Callithrix jacchus: one gene and its partners. The protein of the gene in region 1 interacts with the protein of each later gene in a biochemical or structural test. Links are inferred from orthologs where the notes say so. Each region holds a gene or a part of one and is shown in the gene's direction. Other genes may lie near its edges.

Region 1 (4,044 bases):
TCTTCTACATAGACAGCTCTGCTGCAGCTTCACAGAGGTGAGACTTCAGACGGGAGCCCCAGGCAGAGAAAAGGACTGAATTTGGGGGGCAGGAGGGTCATCGCTTCTGGGGACCTTTGCAGCCTCCCCAGGTGCAGCCCCAGTGGAGACTCCGGCCATCGCAGCCTCCAGAGGCAGTGAGGATGCCCTGCCCAAGGGGCCAGGAAGGTAGGTGGGTAACGGGGACAGCGGAGGGACGCGGGAGGCCTCGGCCTGGACGAATCAGGATGCTTCCCGACCTCCACAATACCCAGGACACTGTACTGCACGGACGCCCTCCTAGCAAGCCCAACCCCACAGCCGCACAAGGGAAGAGGGAAGAAACCCGGGGGTGGTGGGCACAGCCAGGCCTCCAGCGCGCGGAACAGAGAGGCTGCACCGGTCCATGTTCCCTTCCGACCGGTCCAGGAGGGGTCCCTGACAACCAGGGCTCCTCCGCCTCAGGCTGGATCTCAGCGGAAAGGCCAGCTCATCAGAGGCCGTGCGACATCCCCTCTGGGCAGCCGTCCTCGACCCTGGGCCCCACCCCCACGGCCCCGTTTCCCCCGCGGGTTTCCAGGCCACCTCCTCCTTTGCTTCACCCGTGGCCGGCTCCCCGGGGTCTGCTCCTGGCCCAGGCGTGACCCCGCTCGAGTCACTGCGGCCGTCGGGGCGCCGAGGCCAGTGGGGGACACAGCAGGCCTCCCGCCTTCGGACGTTCAGTCGTGGACCCGCGAGTGCCACAGGTTTCCACAGGGCCGGGGCTCGCGACTCCGCGCAGCCTGGGGGCTAGGAACCCCAACCCCGGCGAGGGGCACCTCACACCCACGTCCTTACGCGGCCCCTGCGGGCTCGCGGTGACTGCCGCGCCGGGAAGGAGGAGGGTGTCAACCCGGCCCCGCCGCTCTAGTTCCTGCAGCAGCAGCCCGGACCTCAGTCACCGAATCTGTGAAACGGGCGGGAGGGAGCCACATGGTGTCTTCTCGGAAACACACAGGCGCAGGCGCAGGCGCAGACGGGTGCGCTCGCCCTCTCCTGGGCGCGCGCGCGCGCGGGGACCGCGGCCCGGGGCGGGGCGTCCCTTTCCCCGCCCCCTTCCCCGCCCCCTGCAGCCCTCCTGGAGTCAGCGCGCCTGCTCCGCGGGCGAGCGGTGGGAGGAGTTCCCTGTGTCTCCGCCCCTTACCCGGCGTGCTCTGCGTCCGCAGGCGCTGACGTGGCCGCCGTCAGAGCCGCCATCTTGTGGGAGCGAAACCAACGCCTGGCTCGGAGCAGCAGCCGCTGAGGTGAGGGCGAGGGGCCCGGGACCGTGTGGGCCGCGGGCAAGTAGGAGCCGGCGGGGGCAGGGGACTGGCTTCGGGGCGACTTGAGGTTCGCGAAGAGCACCTCGACCCCCGCGGCGGCGGCGATAGGGCCGTGCCGGGGGCGGACGAGGACGGGCCGGGCTGAGGCTGGGGCCTGGCCGGGGTCGGGGCTGGGCCGGCAGGCGGGTCGGTGGGCCCTTCGCGCCCCTCACAGATTCCCGACGTCGCTCGCGGCCCCGTGTCTTCCTCTGCCCGTCCCTGCCCGCGCCCTCGGCCCGGAAGTCCGCCGGGACTCCGGGCTCTTCTCCAGGAAGCCTGGGCTTCCTGCTTCCCTCACATCTGCCCTTTTCGTCTCTCGAAGCCGCTCGCGCGTGGAGAGTTGGGGTTAGAGGCCGCGGGGGCCGGTAGGGGCCGTGGGGCCTCCCCCACCCGAGCACGGGCGAGCGGGTGGCATCCGGGCGGACCCCTGCCTCAGGGACCGGGAAACTGAGGCTCGGACGGCCCCAGGCGCCGTCAAGGTCACGTTGGTGGTGGGGGCTTGCATCTCCGCCTCCCCACTCCATCCAGTTGGTGTTTGCTCTGAGGGCGGCACCGGCTGGGGGGCGGTGAGAGCGGGCGGGCAGGTGGATGGGGACCCCGCGCCCGGCTCCGGCTGCGTGGACTTCCGGGGGAGTCCGGAGTGCCTCCCTTCACACCCGTGAGACCCGTGGCTTCCAGAGGGGCCGGTGGATCTTTGCTTTAACCCCAGGGTGGTGCCTTGGCGGCGGTGGATGATAAGAAGCCTCTTCTGAGCTGGTGAATCTTTAACCTGCCCGCGGAACGACCTGCTCGCAGACTCGGGGCCGCGGAGGCCGGGCACAGCCTGCGTGGTTCCGGGGTGAGGCTGGGCTGGACAGCCGTGCGCACCTGGTGTTAGGTCACCGTTCCGACGGCACCTCCTGGCGCTCTCGCTTTCTGTCCAGGCAGCCCGTTGCTGCTTTGCAGGAAATGAGCAGAAATGCACCCGGAATCGCGGGCAGGAAAGAAGGGCGGCCGGAGGCTTTGGGTGGTCCCCGAGTTGATAGCTGTGGAGTTGGTGCACTGCCCCTGTTGGAGGGGCAGTTGTAGTTCTCGTTTCAGAACTAGGGGTCAGCAGTTTTTTTGCCGGCTGTTGCAAGGCTGGTGGTTCTGGCGTTTTCCGCGGTGTGTTTGGGAGGATTGTGAGATGCCGCGGTCCAGTTTGTTGTGTGGCCCCTGTGGCCCTCTGCCGTGGCGATAGCCATTTTCTAACACTTGTGACTGCATGGATGGTGTTCTGACTTAGTTTGCATTTTCGGTAGCACTGCCACGGTAGCCAGAAAGTCCCGAAATGCAGTATTACTATCTGGGTCCAAAGTTGAGAGGAATTGAGTAGTGTAAATGTTAGTCACACATTTGATTGGCCACATTGTTAGAAGTCTGTTGTCCACGTTACCACGTGTTGGTAGACCGGAGAATATCTGTCACTGCTTTTCGGGTGTATCTTGTTGAAAATAAATCCAAACCACTGCAGTAGGAATCTGTTGTTGCCTGTGAGGCAGATGTTCAGATTTACCAGTTGAAAAAGATTTGAAACAGTTGGTTTGGACAACAGCTGAGTCACACAATGACTGTGAGTGAAAAGCAAAAACTGGTTCTGTGCTCCTCACAGTTCTGGTTTTGTACATCATGTGGTCTAGCTATGCGCTGTACCTCTTGCACAATATGGAGAGGACATTCAGACATCTTCCTTCACCTGCTAATCTGCCCCTACGGACCGGACAGACTTGAAACTACTATAGGAAGGTGCATTTGGCCTTTCCTTTTTCACTTCAGTAAACTTTAATGTGGACTGTCAGCTGCTGCGGTTATCACAGAAGTAGACCTAAACCAAGAGAAAAAAACGTGTTGTGCAAGTTCCTGCGGAGTAGTATACGACTGGTTTCAGAGAGTTGAACATTTCTTTTTAGATTCTCCAAATTAAATGTCTCCTTGGTGTGTGGATTTAAGCTTGCTCTTACTCACAGGCCAGGCGCACCAAGCTTTTCTACACACTTATTCATGAGCTGTGACCATTCTCCTGAGCAAGAGGCTGAAGCCAGCCTCTTGGGCTGGCAGGTCCATGCTGTTTCTCATAAGCATTCTGTCCCCTTGACCTTTCACCTTCATAAATTCGAGGGTGAAAGGAAATAGAGTGCACTGTCAGAGGTAATTGGGAGAGAAACATGAAAAGGCCTTGCAGTAGGGTCTTAAATTATGACGACTTTGTTTTCTGTGTTGTGCGTGCTCATTGGCGTGGATGGTTGGTAGGGGTATCCTGCCCATAGTGTCTGAAGTGGTCTTTTGCAAAAGGTTTGGCCTCTTCATGTTGGGATTCCTGGACTTGTCTTCATCCTCAGGTTCCCATCCTCTTGTGGTGGTTGTAAACTCTCTAAGGCAAAGTTGCACTCATCGCTTTACAGCTGTGCAGCCACCTCACTGTCTTGGAAGGTACTTTCACATTCTCAGGTGGGTCAGATGACCTTGTTAGCAACTTGACAGACGTGTCCTGGATGCTCTTTGTTGCCAGGAAGCTCTCAGGTCCTCCCCCAGGGTCCTGTCTCAGTCTCCTACAGGGATGCAGAGACAGTGAGGCTGGCTGATTAGCCATTATGTGCTTGACCAGTCTTGGTTTCCTGGTTCTTATAAAGTGGTAACAAGGGCTTGCAGCCGGTTGTCAGCCAACATA
Region 2 (4,020 bases), on another chromosome or scaffold:
TGGAGTGCAGTGGCACAATCTCTGCTCACTGCAACCTCTGCCTCCTGGGTTCATGCAATTCTCCTGCCTCAGGCTCCAAAGTAGCTGGGACTACAGGCGTGCGCCACCATGCCCGGCTAATTTTTGTATTTTTAAAGTAGAGACGAGGTTTTACTATGTTGGCCAGGCTGCTCTCGAACTCCTGACCTCGTGATCCGCCTGCTTTGGCTCCCAAAGTGCTGGGATTACAGCTGTGAGCCACCTCGGCCTGCAAGCGCTTTATTGACAACGGACAAAACTAGAAACCCATTTGTCTATCAAAAGAAGAGACAAATAAATCGGCTTTTAAAAAAGATTGAAATACCCGAAGAGATTTTGTTTCCCCTTAGACTGCCAATTCCAGCGAAGCAAGCTCCATAACCATCTTATATACTACCTTACTCTCAGTGTCTGGCACGGAGTAAGCACGCAATAAATGTTTGGTGAATGAATGAAAGAATGCCCGCTCTCATTCACTAATGGGTTTATAGCCACCAGCCCTCGGGCCTTTTACGCCCTCATGCCTTCCAGGTACAAACGCTATCCGGGCTAGGCCGAACGTGGCTCGCAGCGGGCTCGGGAGTGGGGCACCCATCGCCAGCTCCTGCAGCGGAGGCGCGTCCCCCGGGACCCAGGCAGCGTCCGCGGCTAGAGGGTCCCGGGACTGGCACCGAGCGGAGGGATGCGCGCAGAGTGGGTCCTGGGAGGCGGCGGCCGGGCACGCTGGGACCGACAACACTGGACGCCCCGACGCCGGGCAGCACTTGCCAGCCGCACCGAGGGGATCGTGCGGGCCCGCAGGGCACAGGGCGGCCCCCGGGCTCCCGGCGGCACGCGGGGCGACGGGGCGGGTCGAGGGCGGCGGGGGCGGGACAGGACAGACGAGAATCCCGCGGAGGTGAGGCCGGGGGCCGTCCCGCCCCCGAGGGCAGGCCCTGAGCCCCGGCCCCGCCCCGGCCCGCTGGGGCGTGGGCTCCAGCTGCTACTCCGCTCTGCTCTCCTGGCTTCGGGAACCCGCGCGGGCGCCCGCTCCGACTGCCAGGGTGAGGGGCCGTGAAGGGGCGCGCAGGGGTGCCGGGCCCAGGAAATCGTGGGGGGAGGGAACGGGCTCGGGCTGCGGGGCCTCCACACTCAGCTTCACACTCAGATTTCGGGGTTGCTCCCCGCCCTCGGCGGGGATCGCGTAACTTCCTCATTCCCGCCTGGACCCCTGCCCCGGCTCCCCTGCCTGGCGTGAGCGCCGCAGCTCCGCGCTCTCTCGAGCACCCGGGGCCGCTTCCCGGCACAGCTGCTGCGCGGCCCCAAGTCGGAGCCTTCCGGGCCTGGCTGGGTGTTCCCCGGGGCTCTGGTTACGGGATGGGGCGGGGGCTCGGGACTGGGACTGGGATTGCGGATGAGGGATTAAGGTAGGGAATGGAGCCCAGAAGGGGGTCGGTGGGGCGTTGCAAACTGGCCAGGCGTCGTCAGAGGGGTGGTCAGGAGTCCGTGGGGGAAGGGGAGGACCTGCAACAGAGGGAGGGCTGCGAGATTTAGGATAGCGGGGCGGGTTCTGCAGGGCAGCTTGCCTCCCTTAGGCTTCCCCATATTCCCAGGATGACGGCGACCCCTGAGAGCCTCTTCCCCACTGGGGGCGACCTAGACTCCAGCCAGCTCCAGATGGAGTCCGATGAGGTGAACACTCTGAGAGAGGGAGAGGACCCAGGTACACAGGGAATATGGATGACCTGCAGGGCGAAGAGGCGGGGCGGGGCCCGCGGGCTGGGGCCTACTGGGGTCTGCACTCCTTGACTTTCTTTCCTCCCAGCCGACCGGATGCACCCGTTTCTGGCCATCTATGATCTTCAGCCTCTGAAAGTGCATCCCTTGGTGTTTGCAACTGGGGTCCCTGTCACAGCCCAGGTGGTGGGCACTGAAAGATATACCAGCGGATCCAAGGTGGCCAGACTGGCCCCAGGGAAGGGGAAAGGGAGGGCGGGCCAGGGTGGATCCAAGGTGTCTCAGCTGGCCCCAGGGAGGGGGAAAGGGAAGGCTGGCCAGAGTGGGGAGGCAGGGACACATGCAGGGAACATCCATTCAGTTTGTCACACCCCTAGGTGGGAACCTGCACTCTGTATTCTGTCCGCTTGACTCACGGCGACTTTACCTGGACAACCAAGAAGAAGTTCCGTCATTTTCAGGAGCTGCATCGGGACCTCCTGAGACACAAAGTCTTGATGAGTCTGCTCCCCCTGGCTCGGTGAGGGGGCCGAACTGCTTCCTGTAGAGGGCAGGTGCCCCCCCCACCCTCCTTCCTGTGTCTGCCCTCCTCCCCTGCCCTCCGGCCACAGCCTTTCCTCCCTGCAGTGGCTCTGGCCACTGGGCCACCTCCCCTGACCCCAGTTACCAGGAAACTTTCCCTGTCCATGGTTCTGTGCCAGCATCTCAGCCAGGCTGGATGCCCAAAATGTCCTTGGCAGCCTCACCCTTTTCTAGTCTCCATTCCCAGGGTAGGGGGCCTTCCTTTTGCCAGCCTCTAGGCCTTTTTGTTTTTGACAAGGTGTCCTGTCACCCAGGCTAGAATTCAGTGGTATGATCTTGGCTCACTGCAACTTCCTGGGCTCAAGCGATCCTTCCACCTCAGCCTCCCGAGTAGCTGGGACCACAGCCACCACACCCAGCTAATTTTTGCATATTTTGTAGAGATGGGGTTCCACTATGTTGCCAGGCTAGTCTCAAATTCCTGAGCTCAAGTGATCTACCCACCTTGGCCTCCTCAAGTGCTGGGATTACAGGCATGAGCCACCACCCCTGGCCACCTCCAGGCCTCTTCTTTTCCTCCAAGCCCCCATCTCCAGTGTTTTCAAGAACCGGAGCACCCAGCCTCCCAGCACATACCTGACCCTCATCTATCCTTACCACAGTTTTGCCGTTGCCTATTCTCCAGCCCGAGAGGCAGCCAACAGAGAGATTCCCTCTCTACCCCGAGCAGGTCCTGAGGGCTCCACCAGACATGCAGCCAGCAAACAGGTGGGACCAGACACCAGGTTCTCTGGGAAGGCACTAGAGGTGCAAATGGCTCTGGTCTCATCTTTCTCTCTCTCTCTCATCCCCACTTCAGAAATACCTGGAGAATTACCTCAACCGCCTCTTGACCATGTCTTTCTATCGCAACTACCATGCCCTGGTAAGGTCCAGGGACCGATTTTAGATGTGGAGCAGGATAATCAGACCTGCAGCGGGAGAGAGCCAGGGGCCCCAAGGTCTGAGGGGCTGACAGCCAGGTGTCTCCTCTGGCCTTTTGTTTTTCTCTACAGACAGAGTTCCTGGAAGTCAGTCAGCTGTCTTTTATCCCAGACCTGGGCTGCAAAGGACTGTGAGTGTCTGGCACCCTTCACCCAGCCATCCGCAGACATCACTGTTAATTTCTCCCTGTCTGAGAATGGGCAAGCCGTGCAAGGTGGGCTGGCAGTCTGGAGTCCTCATCCACCATCTCTTCCTGATTGTCCCACAGGGAGGGGATGATCCGGAAGCGCTCAGGTGGCCACCGAGTTCCTGGCCTCACCTGCTGTGGCCGAGACCAAGTTTGTTATCGCTGGTCCAAGAGGTATGGGCTGTGGCCGAGCAGCTGGGCAGTGGGTAGGGGTGAAAAAGGAAATTGCAAGGGCAGAGAGGAACACAGGGAGCCCTTCTGCTCTAGGTGGCTGGTGGTGAAGGATTCCTTCCTGCTGTACATGTGCCTCGAGACGGGCACCATCTCATTTGTTCAGCTCTTTGACCCTGGCTTTGAGGTGCAGGTGGGGAAACGGAGCACGGAGGCACGGTACGGTGTGCGGATCGATACCTCTCACAGGTAAGGCCTCCCTGGTGTGAGAGACAGCTGGTGAGTGGTGAGCCAGCCCACAGCCCTGCCTGGACTTCAGTAAGAGATACTACAGGAGGCAGGGCGTGGTGGCTCACGCCTATAATCCCAGCACTTTGGGAGGCCGAGGCGGGCAGATCACAAGGTCAGGAGTTCGAGACCAG
Region 3 (3,511 bases), on another chromosome or scaffold:
ACCGAAAGACACCTTAGCAGCAAAGAGAACGTGCAGACAGCGTTCCCAGCCAATGCTAAGATTAAACTTTTTTTTTCTTTTCAACTTTATAAGTAACAGCATGTTGTAATTGACTTAACATTTTCTTCAGAAACTGCTGTGGCCAACTGATTTTTATGGGAATCATTCTTTAATGTTTTCGTCTTCATGCTGCCTGTGTTATGAGGCATGCTGGCCCAGGGGTGGCGGGAGGTGTGTGCTGCGGTCCTCGCTGGTGATTTAAACCACCCTGCTCTGGTCATGGTCCTCGTCTGCTCATAGGTTGAACAGTTCTGAGTGAATCTTAATGGCCAATCTCGCTTTATCTTTAAATTTGGTAGCGGCATTCCGTTGTAATTACCATCTCCCTCAGGTCCCATAGGCACCACTCTCTTTCCATAACAACATTTTGCAAAATTATTTACTTGGAAGCAAATGAAATAATTGTCACTTTGAAGAACCGAAACCAAAAACCTCTTAAGGAAACAGTTGGCTTTGTTTTTGCCTGTGCTTGCTTTCTGATTATGTTTCTTGGGCAGGCATTCCGTTGGCACTTTTTTTTTTAAGGATATGGTGAAAAGGTTTGGTGTAACGCTTTCAGTTTGCGTGGGAAGCCAGTAAATTATGGCACGTGTTGTCAGAGCCTGGAAAGGTACAGTCATGAGTGTTAATGTTGGCTGGGCTGAGTGGCACATGCCCATAATTCCAGCACTTTTGGGAGCTCAAGGAGAGCAGATTGCTTGAGCTCAGTAGTTCAAGACCAGCCTGGGCAACATGGCAGAACTACATTTCCATATCTATAAAAAATAGAAAAATTAGCTGGGTGTGGTGGCCTGTACCTGTGGTCTCAGGTACTTGGGAGGCTGAGGTGGGAGGATCACCTGTGCTCAGGAGAAGATCTAGGCTGCAGTGAGAAGATTAGGCCATTGCACTCCAGCCTGGGTGACAGAGTGAGACCCTGTCTCAAAATAAAAAACATGTCTTCACTTGCTATGTTTAATTTTCTGTGAGTCTTGAAATATTTTTCAAGAGCACTCAGATTTTCCCAGTGTCGTTTTCAGAATGTTGGTTGTGGTTACTGATCTAGAGCAGTGGAGGAACCGTAGAATCCATGGAAGCAACACTTTTCATTTTCAGAGGAAAGAGAAACCATCAAATTTGAACTCTCAGAAACCTTCTGAGTTAAAGACACTTCTTTCTCTTCTGTTGCTTTCCTTAGAAGACACTACTGAGAAAGATGATTGGCATATTGCAGGAAGAGGCCCCGTAGCCTTGATGCTGACAGACCTGGCAAAGCCGTAGACACAAGTCAGCCTATCTCACGTGTCCCTTCCGTGGGGTTCCTGCTAACTTGTTGGTTATGACCTTGCGTCAGTGGAGACCTTGGGTTCCTGAGTGTTGTTAGTAAAACCTTGGGTTTTAATCATTTCAGACAAGTAATGGCGGTGGGAGTTTAAGCGACTATTCCTCCTCCGTTCCATCGACTCCCAGCACCAGCCAGAAGGAGCTTCGGATCGACGTTCCTCCCAGTGCCAACACGCCCACGCCCGTTCGCAAGCAGTCCAAGCGCCGGTCCAACCTTTTCACCGTGAGTGTCAACCCTGGGTGGAGATTTGAGCGCCATTCTGAAGAGTGTCCATTAACATAAACCTGGTTGCGTGATTCAGTGGTATTTGTAGAATCTCAACTATATCAATGGGAATAGCATTGATTTCTGTGGAACGCTGAGAAAATTATGAGAAGCAAAGATTTGGATGTCGAGTAGAATGGGAGTTTCTTGGTGTGGACGGGTACAGATTGTTATGTCAGAAATGAAGAGCTGTGGGTGTGTATAAAGGCACTTGTTACCCTGTGGCTCCAGCTAAAGACATGTCACACTGGATACAAAGAGATGGCAAAACTCTGCCAAGATTCCCAGATGTGTGTCTCTAGCCATTCAGATGATGATAAGCTGTTACAGTCCACAGGCCCTCTTCTGCTGCTGCTGAGGTGCCTCTGGTGGAGGCGGGGGATGGGGAGATGCCTTCTGGAGGCTCATTGCCATGAGGCTTTCCACTTGGTTTCTTTTCCCTTTTGAGACGGGGAAAAAAAGGAAGTCTGCCTAGACTGGAGTGCAGTGGTTCAGTCCTCAAATCCTCCCACTTCAGCCTTCTGAGTCCCTGGAACCACAGGCATGCATCACTGTGTGTGGCTAATTTTTTTTTTTGAGAGCCGGAGTCTTACTGTGTTGCCCAGGGTAATCTTGAACTCCTGGGCTCAAGCCATCCTTGCACCTTGGCCTCCTGAAGTGCTGGGATTACAGGCATCAGCCATAGTGCACAGCCAGCACGTTTAGTACTTAAAAACTCTCTGGGTGATTAAGATGCAAAGAATCCCTGAACTACGGAAGAGACAAAAATGCTACCATCCTGTCTCTCCCCTGTGCCCAGCAGACATTACCAATCAATCTGGAGTCTACACAGTTGGGCCCCAGACTCCAGGCATAGCTGCTGTCAGGTGACTGAAGCCCTTTGACTTGAGAAGAACGCTCTCTCCCTGGATCACCTCTGTGCATGACTAGTATATGCTTTTTAAATAGTGGGCCTCAACCTGGGTGGTTTTGCTCTCCAAGGACATTTGGCAGTTTCTGGAGAATCTTCGGGCTGTTACCGCAGGAGTATGAGAGTGGGAAGGTAAGGTACTGCGGACGTCTAGTCCTGGGTATCAACCAAGGGTGCTGCAGAGCATCAGCAGATCGGCCCCTCGCAGCAGGGAATGCCCAGCCCCCGGGTCAGTGGTGTCCTGTTTTAAACCATCTGACTTGCATTTTTGGTTGATCACTGCTGACCCAGACGCAAAGCTTAATATGTCCTATTGGGTTAAAGGAAGACTCTATAGGGGTGACTGGGAGTCTGATTTGCTGCCCCTTTGTGAAGAGGAACTTGATGTGATGTTACAGTTCCTGCCACATCTGGGAGATCCCCTGTCTCTCTGCCACATATCCGAGGCAGTCTCTCACTGGGTACTCATGACTGTGGAAGTGGTTGCCAACAGCACACACCTCCTCCTCCCCAGCCTCCCCTTGCCTTTGCTGGGTGTCTTGCGCCAGATCAGCTCCCACAGAGGCCAGTGCTGGGCAGCAGGGTGAGGACTGATCAGACAGACCAGGCTCAGACCCTGGCCTCCACTGCTGACGGATGTTTGACCTTAGGCAAATTACCTGACCTCTCTCAGCTGGAAACCATAGTACTTGGGGCTGCCGGGAAGACTTCCTGGAGGAGACAGACGAGACCTGGTGGCATTGCTTTTGTTATTTTCTCACTACCGTTGATACTATAAAATGATTCCTGGTAGTGTCAGGCATATGCGATAGATGAGGAGGCAGGTATATAGGTTTCTGCAAAATACAGGTGAGTATCTCTCATGCTTAAATTAGTACATGGATAAGATATTTTATTGGACAGTTTCTTCAGACACACCAAGAACAGCAGTAGTCACCTAAATAAATAGCTGC
Region 4 (3,511 bases), on another chromosome or scaffold:
AGCTGCTCCAGAGAGACGGATCTGAGAAGTACCATCCGCTGCAACAATGGAGGCTTCCCGGGACAGCAGGAGAACTCAGAGGAAGCTTCCAGCTCAGGGAAGGGCATCAAGGCCAGGCTTCTTGGAAGGAGGACTGGACAAGGCTGCTTCGGCCTCTGCCTCTTGGGGGACTCCCCATGTGGAACTGTGCTTTTTTTTTTTTTTTTTTTTTTTTGGGGGACAGAGTCTCACTCTCGCCCAGGCTGGAGTGCAGTGACTTGATCACGGCTCACTGCAACCTCTCCCTCCCAGGTTCAAGTGATTCTCCTGCCTCAGCCTCCTGAGTAGTTGGGATTACAGGCATGCACCACCATGCTGGGCTGATTTTTGTGTTTTTTTTTTTTTAGTAGAAACGGGGGTTTTACCACGTTTGTCACACTGGTCTCTAACTTGTGACCCACCTTGGCCTCCCAAAGTGCCGGTATTATAGGTGTGAGCCACTGCACCTGGCCTGAACTGTGCTATTAAACCGGGGCGTCGCCACCTCAGCAGATGCCAGGGTTTCCTGGTAAATGTAAAATATGCAAGTCAGGCTGGGCGCAGTGGCCCACTCCTGCAATTTCAGCACTTTGGGAGGCCAAGACAGGAGGATTGCTAGAGGCCAGGACTTTGAGACCAACCTGGGCAATAATATAGTGAGACCCCCATCTCTACAAAAAAAACATTAGCCAGGCCTGGTGGCGCAGGAGGATTGCTTGAGCCCGAGTGGTCAAGACTGCAGTGAGTCGTGATTGTGCGGCTGCACCTCGGCCTGGGCGGCAGAAGACCCCATCTCTCTCAAATAAAAATACATGCAAATCACTGTTCAGCCAACCCCAGTCCCCATCTTGTATTGGATCCAAGGAAGGCAGGCGGTGCTGGGGGAAATTGACAGTCCTCGAGGTGCCCTGGCAGTGAGCAGGCTAGAAAGAGAAGCAGGAAGGCGCCAGCCTCACAAGGAGCTGCTTCCCTCAAAACTGCTCCTGTGCCAGTCGCAGTGGCTCACGCCTCTAATCCCAGCACTTTGGGAGGCCAAAGCAGGTGATTCAGGAGGTCAAGAGATCGAGACCATCCTGGCCAACATAGTGAAACCCTGTCTACAAAAATTAGCCTGGCGTGGTGGCGCACGCCTGTAGTCCCGGCTACTTAGGAGGCTGAGGCAGGAGAATTGCTTGAACCCAGGAGGTGGGTGGAGGTAGCAGTGATCCGAGTTCATGCTGTTGCACTCCAGCCTGGGCAACAAGAGTGAAACTCCGTCTCAAAAAAAAATACTCCGTCAGCAGCAACCTTTCCCATTTCCCAGATAAGGAAATTGAGGCTCACTTTTCATTTTGGCTCTGGGCCTCATCTAAGGCTGCCCAGCCCCAGGGACATTTCTGGCCAGAGAGCCTCTGTTCCCGTTATGCCAGTTGAGAGGGGCATCCCTTCCTTAAAGGTGGCAGTGCAGGAGTGGAGATGGGCGGCCGCAGTTTCTACTTCATGGCTAATAAAAGCCATTATGACTTTCACTGTTTAACCCTGGGCCCATGAGGAAGCCAGAAGTGGGTCCTTTTGCCACAGGAAGGTGTGGGCCCAAGTGAGTCTCCAGGCTGGAGTCCAGAGAGGCCAAGAGAGTGTCCTGAGGTCACACAGCCAGTTTGTGCAGGAGCTGAGATGGGCCCCCACACCCACCTCAGACCAAAGACTGGGGTTTTTGCCTCCTCCCACCTACAGGGGAGAGGCACTTTCACCATGTCAAGGGAGGACTCTCCTGGCCTGGGACAGACCTTAGTGGGTGGGCTGGGGCCCTCTGCCCATGCAAGGGGTTTTCCAGGCCTCCACCTGGGGCTCAGGGCCCTTGGCCTCTCTGGGAGGGAGGGGCCCCGGCCATCTGCCCCTCATGTGGATGTAACTGGTTTTCTTCCCTCTCTCTCCCTCCCCTCCCTCTGCGTGTTTCTCTGTCTCCTGTTTGCCTCTCTGCCCCGCCCCCTGCACATCCCGCCCCGCACCCACCCTATTTCTGTCGCCTGCGGCTCTTGGGGTGCTCCGCTCTCCCGCCTTCCCTTCTCCTGCACCTGGTCCTGCCTGCTTTCTCGCTGTCTGCCCCAGGAGGTAGGTACACGATCTGTCCTTGTCCCCCATCACTAGAGAGGGGAGGGGGCTGCCCTGGCCTCCGGCCCACAGCAGGGGGGACTGACAAACTTAGAAAAGTGAAGCCCCAAGCTGGGGGTGGACGATTCCTGGAGCCCCAACACGCCTGTCCCTGCTTGTCTGTCTCCCCCTACACAGCGGCTTTATCCTAGGCCACAGGAGCCCCGCCTCTCCCACTCTTGCTTTGCCTCTTACGCCCCTCCCACCTCCCAGAGGCCCTGTCCCCCTCCGTTGAGCCCAGGCCCCCTCCCACCCCTTCCCTTTCAGGGGGCCGGGTGAAGACGTGGAAGCGGCGTTGGTTTATCCTCACAGACAACTGCCTCTACTACTTTGAGTACACGACGGTGAGGGTGACCTGGGCTGGGCTCTGGGGTCCTGGGAGGAGGGTCTGGGAGCCTGGACTCGGGCTGAGAGAGGCAGAGTGGGGTGAGGATTTGGAAGTCTGAGTTCCATCCAACTTGCTTCTTCAGGACAAGGAGCCCCGAGGAATCATCCCCCTGGAAAATCTGAGCATCCGAGAGGTGGATGACCCCCGGAAACCGGTGAGATCCTCTCTGTACACCTTCCTGCCGGGGTGCGCCACCTCTGCCCAGGGCTGGCTCTCACCTTTGCCCTTCCCCTGTCATCCCCAGAACTGCTTTGAGCTTTACATCCCCAACAACAAGGGGCAGCTCATCAAAGCCTGCAAAACCGAGGCGGATGGCCGGGTGGTAGAGGGGAACCACATGGTATACCGGATCTCAGCCCCAACGCAGGAGGAGAAGGATGAGTGGATCAAGTCCATTGAGTGAGCCTGGAGCCCTGGGTGTGAGGGAGAAGGGGCTGGCCAGGGCCTGGACCCCTGGGTGTGAGGGAGGAGGGGCTGGGGGCCTGGACTCCTTGGCCCTCATCCTGGGATCCCTTCCCATCTTCAGGGCAGCTGTGAGTGTGGACCCCTTCTATGAGATGCTGGCAGCGAGAAAGAAGCGGATTTCAGTCAAGAAGAAGCAGGAGCAGCCCTGACCTCCCGCCCCCAACTCCATTATTTATTGCAGAGCTGCCCCGCCTGGGTGGCCGGACCCCTGGGCCTTGGGGCTGTGAATCCTGGTTCCCTGTTTGGAAAATTCACCACCTCTAGCTCCTCTCTGTTCTTTGTAATTAACACACTGTTGGTAATCTTATTAATTATTTAACCACTCAGCCTGCTGATCCCCTCATTTCTTGGGGTTGACAGAGCTGAGGCGCTTGGTGGAGGCAGCCTGTTTCCCCCGGACAGTGGCCTGGACCCGCCTGTCTCTGGGCGCTTGCTTGGTGTGGCCCCCAGGGCCTGTCCCGGGTGGGTCTGTTCTGTTTCATCCGGAGCCCAGCAGGAGTGGAGTAAAGG
Region 5 (4,306 bases), on another chromosome or scaffold:
GCTTAGCACTTTTTCTTTCAGTCTTGCTCTGTGGCCCAGGCTGGAGTGCAGGGATACGATCTCGGCTCACTGCAACCTCTGACTCCTGGGTTCAAGCAATTATCTTGCTTCAGCCTCCTGAGAAGCTGGGATTATAGGCATGTGCCACTACCCCCAGCTAATTTTTGTATTTTTAGTAGACAGGGTTTTGCCATGTTGTCCAGGCTGGTCTTGAACTCCTGACCTCAGGTGACCCGCCTGCCTCAGCCTCCCAAAGTGTTGGGATCACAGGTGTGAGCCACCACATCTGGCCACTTAGCATGTTTTAATAACGTTCCATACACATCCAACACCCAGAAATTTCACTTCTAGGTAATTACTCAAGAGGAAGAAAAAATATGCTACAAAAAGCCCTTTCAAGACAGCTTTATTCATACTAACCAAAACATAGAAACGACCCCAGTGTCCAAAGTGTGAACGAATGAAGGAATGTGACGTATTTTCCATGGCGTGCTACTTGGCAATAAAAAGGAACCAGTTACGATGCGTGCGACGTGGCTGAATCTCAGAACCTCGTGTTAAGGGAAAGAAGCACCACCAAAGTGTATTTTGCACGACTCTATTTGTGTGATATTCCAGAACAGGCAAAACTAAGACATGGAGATGTTGGAATCAGAAGAGTGGCTGCCTCTGTTGGGAATATCTATAACTGACCAGGGTAGATGTTACCTGGGGATATGCATTTGTCAAAACTCCTTGACCTGTACGTTTTTCGGTGTTGCAGCTTATACCACAATACAAATGTTTATTCTCCATCATTTCAAAGGTCAGCCAAATCAAGGAGAAATATGTGAAATGCACAGAAAAGCACAAAAACAAAACAAAAAATTACCTGCAATTAACCTCCCACGGGTGACCGCTTTTCCGGCTTTGCACCTTCCTAATGCAGACTCGGGTCCCATCACTGCACACCCGCGCCCTGGGGCATCTGCGTGGCAGGGGCGGGGGACCGCGGTCCTTTCAACGCCGCCGCCTCCCGCCAGGGCCCAAAGGCTCGGCTGGTGGGAGACTCAGACCCAAGTGCGGGAGCACGGGCCCCAGGACGCACCCCCACCCCCATGCCAGTCCCCCGTCCCCTGCTACCCACTGCCCGTGGCCCTCGCCTCCCTGCCTGTCGCCCGCTGCCCCTGGTCCTCCTACCCCCGTTCCCCTGCTGCCCCCTCCCCAGAGCCCCCGCTCCAGGCCCCTACTCGCCCCTCCCTCGTTGTCGGCCCCGGTGAACGCGCCACCCCGGAACCACCCCAGCTTTCTTTCGCGGACGCACGGACTCATCTCCCGCCTGGCCTCCCCCACGGCCACAGCTACCAGCTGCGCTCCGGGGCCCAGGGAGGGGATGGACGGCGCGTCTGCGCGTCTCTATGGCGACCGGGCGGCTGCGCGCCTCGAAGGCTGGGGCCTGAGGCGGAAGTCCCGCCCCGCCGGCTCCCGCGAGACCTTGCGAGCGTGACGTAGCCGGAAGTTGGTGGCGGCTTGTGGGCGCCCGGGCGCGTCCCCGTTACAGTGCGGCGGCTCGACCCCGGCTCTGGCCTGACCCCGCGGCCCTGTCCGCCTCCTGCCAGGTAAGCGCGCGGCTTGGCGGCGCGGGCGCGGGCTCGGCCTGAGGCCCCGGCTCCCGCGGCGTTGGCCCCGGCGTTCGCGGGCAGACCTCCCCCCCACGGCCGCCCCCGCCCGGACCCCGCTCAGCCCCGAGGCTGCTGCCCAGAGCTTGGCGGCGCCCACTCCGCGGTCCCCCGGTCCGTTCGGCGCTGGGCGGCTGGTCCTCCTCGCGCGGACGCCCCGCTGCAGCCGCCTCTCCCCGGTGCCGCCCCGAGTCCCCCGCGCCCTCTTCCCTCCGAAGCTGCCCTCCACCCGCACCCCGGATCTGGAATCCCCCACCGGTTACGCGAGTCCAGAGGATCCCTGCCCGCTTAGGGCGCGAGCAGGACCCTGCCCTGTCCCCTTCAACCCCCTCTTCCCGAGCTCCTTAGGACCCAGGACTGGGCCTGGGCTTCCACCCCTTAAGGAGTGAGGGTTCTGCCCGGTGTCATCAGAAGTGGGGTGTTGGTGAGCCCACTGTCGTCAGAAACGGCAGCCTCAGCTCGCGTGGTTTCCTCTTTACCCTTTGACGTGGCTGCCTGTCTTAAGGGAGAGAGAAGAAACCAGGAAGGGGCTTTTAAAACTGTTTTCACTTTCTGTGGGTTTGGAAGAACTATGCTTCGTGTCTGTTCTTTTAAACGCCTTAATTACAGGCCACCAGTTCTAAGAAGTAACTCTGCTCATTTTTTGCAGGTCTGATTAATATTCCTGCCACGCTCTGTTAATTTTAACAGCAAAGTTTGGCTCTAAAGTGACCCAGGGCATCGAAGCTGTTAGCTTTGTTTAGGCATCCCTTTCTGGGGCCGCATCCCTCTCAGAGTTGAGAAGTTGTCTGTTCTTTAGGAGAAGGGGCTGCTGTTCTTAGACGTGGGTCCTTAGGTGCTTCAGACTCAGCATTTCTGCCTGTCACTGTGTCACAGCCCTAGGGCTTGAGCAGTGTTCTTAAGCATCCCTTTTGACCTCACCTATTGCGAGTGTTCCAGCTTAACGGATCCTGAGTTTTGAAGTCTCAGTGGCTTCCGAACTAATACAAAGTGTCCTCGCTGGGTTTGATGTTTACTGAAGTTATGTGCACTTGCAGGAGGAGGGATAGTTTTACATCTTGGTTCAGGTGTTAAGAGTTCCTGGATTATTTTTCAAGGTAAACCATATTGGGCTTTTGAAGGTTAGGAGGTATTTGTTTTTGTGTTATTAACTTTAACATTTCAGGTAACTGGGGCTCGTGAATACCCAAAATTAGTCACATAGAGGAGTTACTTTTAAATCCAAGGGAAGTCCTTTATTTTTTGCACATTTTCTCCCTGCAGTAGTCCTGTGAGTATCCTGTGTATTTTACAGTTAGAAATTGAAGGAGCGTCTCATGGTTCTGACTTTTGTGTGCCCGTGTCTGTTGGCCAATACATGAGCCCCTGAGAGCAGGCCTGGTGCTGTGGGAAGGAGCGAGTGTGGAGACCCAGAGCGGCCTCGTCCTGCTCTGGTGGCTCACCTCCTCTGCATGGGCCGGCTTCTGCGTGTGCCTGCCGTGAGAAGAATGTGTCCCAACGGCCTTATAAGCTCAGCCCCGCTACCCTTGGTGCCAGGACCTCTCCAACCTGGCTTAGCCCCTTTCCATCTTCAGTGCTGTGTTCGGGTGGAAGCTCAGTTTGATGACAGTTTCGCCTGAATGAGTCATGCTGGGATCCAAGTCTATGCGGTCGGGAGTAAGCTTTCAGACCTGCCTCATGCTCTGGTTCCTGGGCGCTCTCACACCAGGCACAGAGCATTACGGAGTAGAAGTCAGCCCAGGGTGAACTTTTGGCTTTGTTTTGATGAACTGCAGAAAACATATTTATTTCCTGACTTTGAGTGGGTTTAAAGTAGGTGCTGGTGAATACTAGGAGTCATGGGCTTCAGAATTCAGGAACTTTGACCGTGTGGAGAGTTGGGACACTCCCCCCTCCCAGTGAATACCTTGTTTCTGCATACTTATGATGAGAAATGAAATATAGGACAGAGATTTTTCTTTTTTTCTTTTTTTAAGCTTCACCTCAACATAAATTTCCACCTACACCGTGAGTAGGAAAGCTGGTCTACACAGTCCTCTTAAATACAGTGGAGGAGGAAAGGGCTGGCGCTGGAAAGGGCAGCCGTGCACACGTGTAGTTTCCTGTGGCTTACAGAGCGCTGTGTGTTCTCTGTGTAGTGAGGTAGAGGGAACAGCACACAGCTCCGTTCTTATTGAGAGGTGGGTGAGGCTCAGCGCAGTGAGGCGTGGGCGCGCGGGGTGCAAGCCTGCTTCCTCCAGGCTGGACTGTCTCTGCAGCCTGCCCATTGGGGGTGTATTCGGGGCCACTGGGTCATTCTCGTTGGACACTGGGGTTGGTTCCACTCCTTCCTCCAGCTTTGAATCTCAGCTGTATCGGTTTTCCCGGCCCTGAATTGGATGGGCCACCAGCGGAAGTTGTGCTTTGTAGTTAGGAGAGCTGCAGAGACATCCGCAGGTTTTCTCTTCAGCCCGAGCCTGGTTGCTGCTATCCCACTAGGGTCCCTGTGAGCCACCGCGGCGGGGCTGATGGTCCGAAGCCACTCTCTCTGTCCTGCTGCAGCCACACTGCTGCCCCCCCCAGGACTCGGAATGGCCCCAGAAGGACCCACCTGCAGGTCCCCCAGCAGGCCAGCTGTTCCCACACTGTGGGCAAGGGCACTGCTTCTG

What was found.
Region 2: the proteins of ARF1 (region 1) and PLD2 form a complex in vitro, tested with the Homo sapiens proteins (2 studies listed by BioGRID). The link is inferred for Callithrix jacchus from reciprocal best matches to the Homo sapiens genes ARF1 and PLD2.
Region 3: of the proteins of ARF1 (region 1) and AGAP1, one has a biochemical effect on the other in vitro, tested with the Homo sapiens proteins (2 studies listed by BioGRID, with this or other methods). The link is inferred for Callithrix jacchus from reciprocal best matches to the Homo sapiens genes ARF1 and AGAP1.
Region 4: the proteins of ARF1 (region 1) and CYTH2 are reported together in a solved structure, tested with the Homo sapiens proteins (3 studies listed by BioGRID and IntAct, with this or other methods). The link is inferred for Callithrix jacchus from reciprocal best matches to the Homo sapiens genes ARF1 and CYTH2.
Region 5: the proteins of ARF1 (region 1) and ARFGAP1 form a complex in vitro, tested with the Homo sapiens proteins (2 studies listed by BioGRID, with this or other methods). The link is inferred for Callithrix jacchus from reciprocal best matches to the Homo sapiens genes ARF1 and ARFGAP1.

The regions. Positions count from the first base shown.
Region 1 is NC_133520.1:38,907,287-38,911,330, forward strand, and holds the start of ARF1 (ADP-ribosylation factor 1), read left to right. Parts: upstream 1-1,243; 5' UTR 1,244-1,301; intron 1,302-4,044. UniProt on the Homo sapiens protein: Small GTPase involved in protein trafficking between different compartments. Modulates vesicle budding and uncoating within the Golgi complex. In its GTP-bound form, triggers the recruitment of coatomer proteins to the Golgi membrane.
Region 2 is NC_133506.1:106,379,677-106,383,696, forward strand, and holds the start of PLD2 (phospholipase D2), read left to right. Parts: upstream 1-1,212; 5' UTR 1,213-1,374; coding exon 1,375-1,424; intron 1,425-1,592; exon of another isoform or gene 1,593-1,610; coding exon 1,611-1,720; intron 1,721-1,822; coding exon 1,823-1,953; intron 1,954-2,111; coding exon 2,112-2,254; intron 2,255-2,918; coding exon 2,919-3,024; intron 3,025-3,115; coding exon 3,116-3,181; intron 3,182-3,311; coding exon 3,312-3,370; intron 3,371-3,508; coding exon 3,509-3,601; intron 3,602-3,694; coding exon 3,695-3,847; intron 3,848-4,020.
Region 3 is NC_133507.1:157,044,480-157,047,990, forward strand, and holds part of AGAP1 (arf-GAP with GTPase, ANK repeat and PH domain-containing protein 1), read left to right. Parts: intron 1-1,450; coding exon 1,451-1,606; intron 1,607-3,511. UniProt on the Homo sapiens protein: GTPase-activating protein for ARF1 and, to a lesser extent, ARF5. Directly and specifically regulates the adapter protein 3 (AP-3)-dependent trafficking of proteins in the endosomal-lysosomal system.
Region 4 is NC_133523.1:42,358,050-42,361,560, forward strand, and holds the end of CYTH2 (cytohesin-2), read left to right. Parts: intron 1-2,415; coding exon 2,416-2,492; intron 2,493-2,618; coding exon 2,619-2,690; intron 2,691-2,780; coding exon 2,781-2,935; intron 2,936-3,062; coding exon 3,063-3,150; 3' UTR 3,151-3,327; downstream 3,328-3,511. UniProt on the Homo sapiens protein: Acts as a guanine-nucleotide exchange factor (GEF). Promotes guanine-nucleotide exchange on ARF1, ARF3 and ARF6. Activates ARF factors through replacement of GDP with GTP.
Region 5 is NC_133506.1:58,760,968-58,765,273, forward strand, and holds the start of ARFGAP1 (ADP-ribosylation factor GTPase-activating protein 1), read left to right. Parts: upstream 1-1,500; 5' UTR 1,501-1,598; intron 1,599-1,790; exon of another isoform or gene 1,791-2,755; intron 2,756-3,634; exon of another isoform or gene 3,635-3,838; intron 3,839-4,306. UniProt on the Homo sapiens protein: GTPase-activating protein (GAP) for the ADP ribosylation factor 1 (ARF1). Involved in membrane trafficking and /or vesicle transport.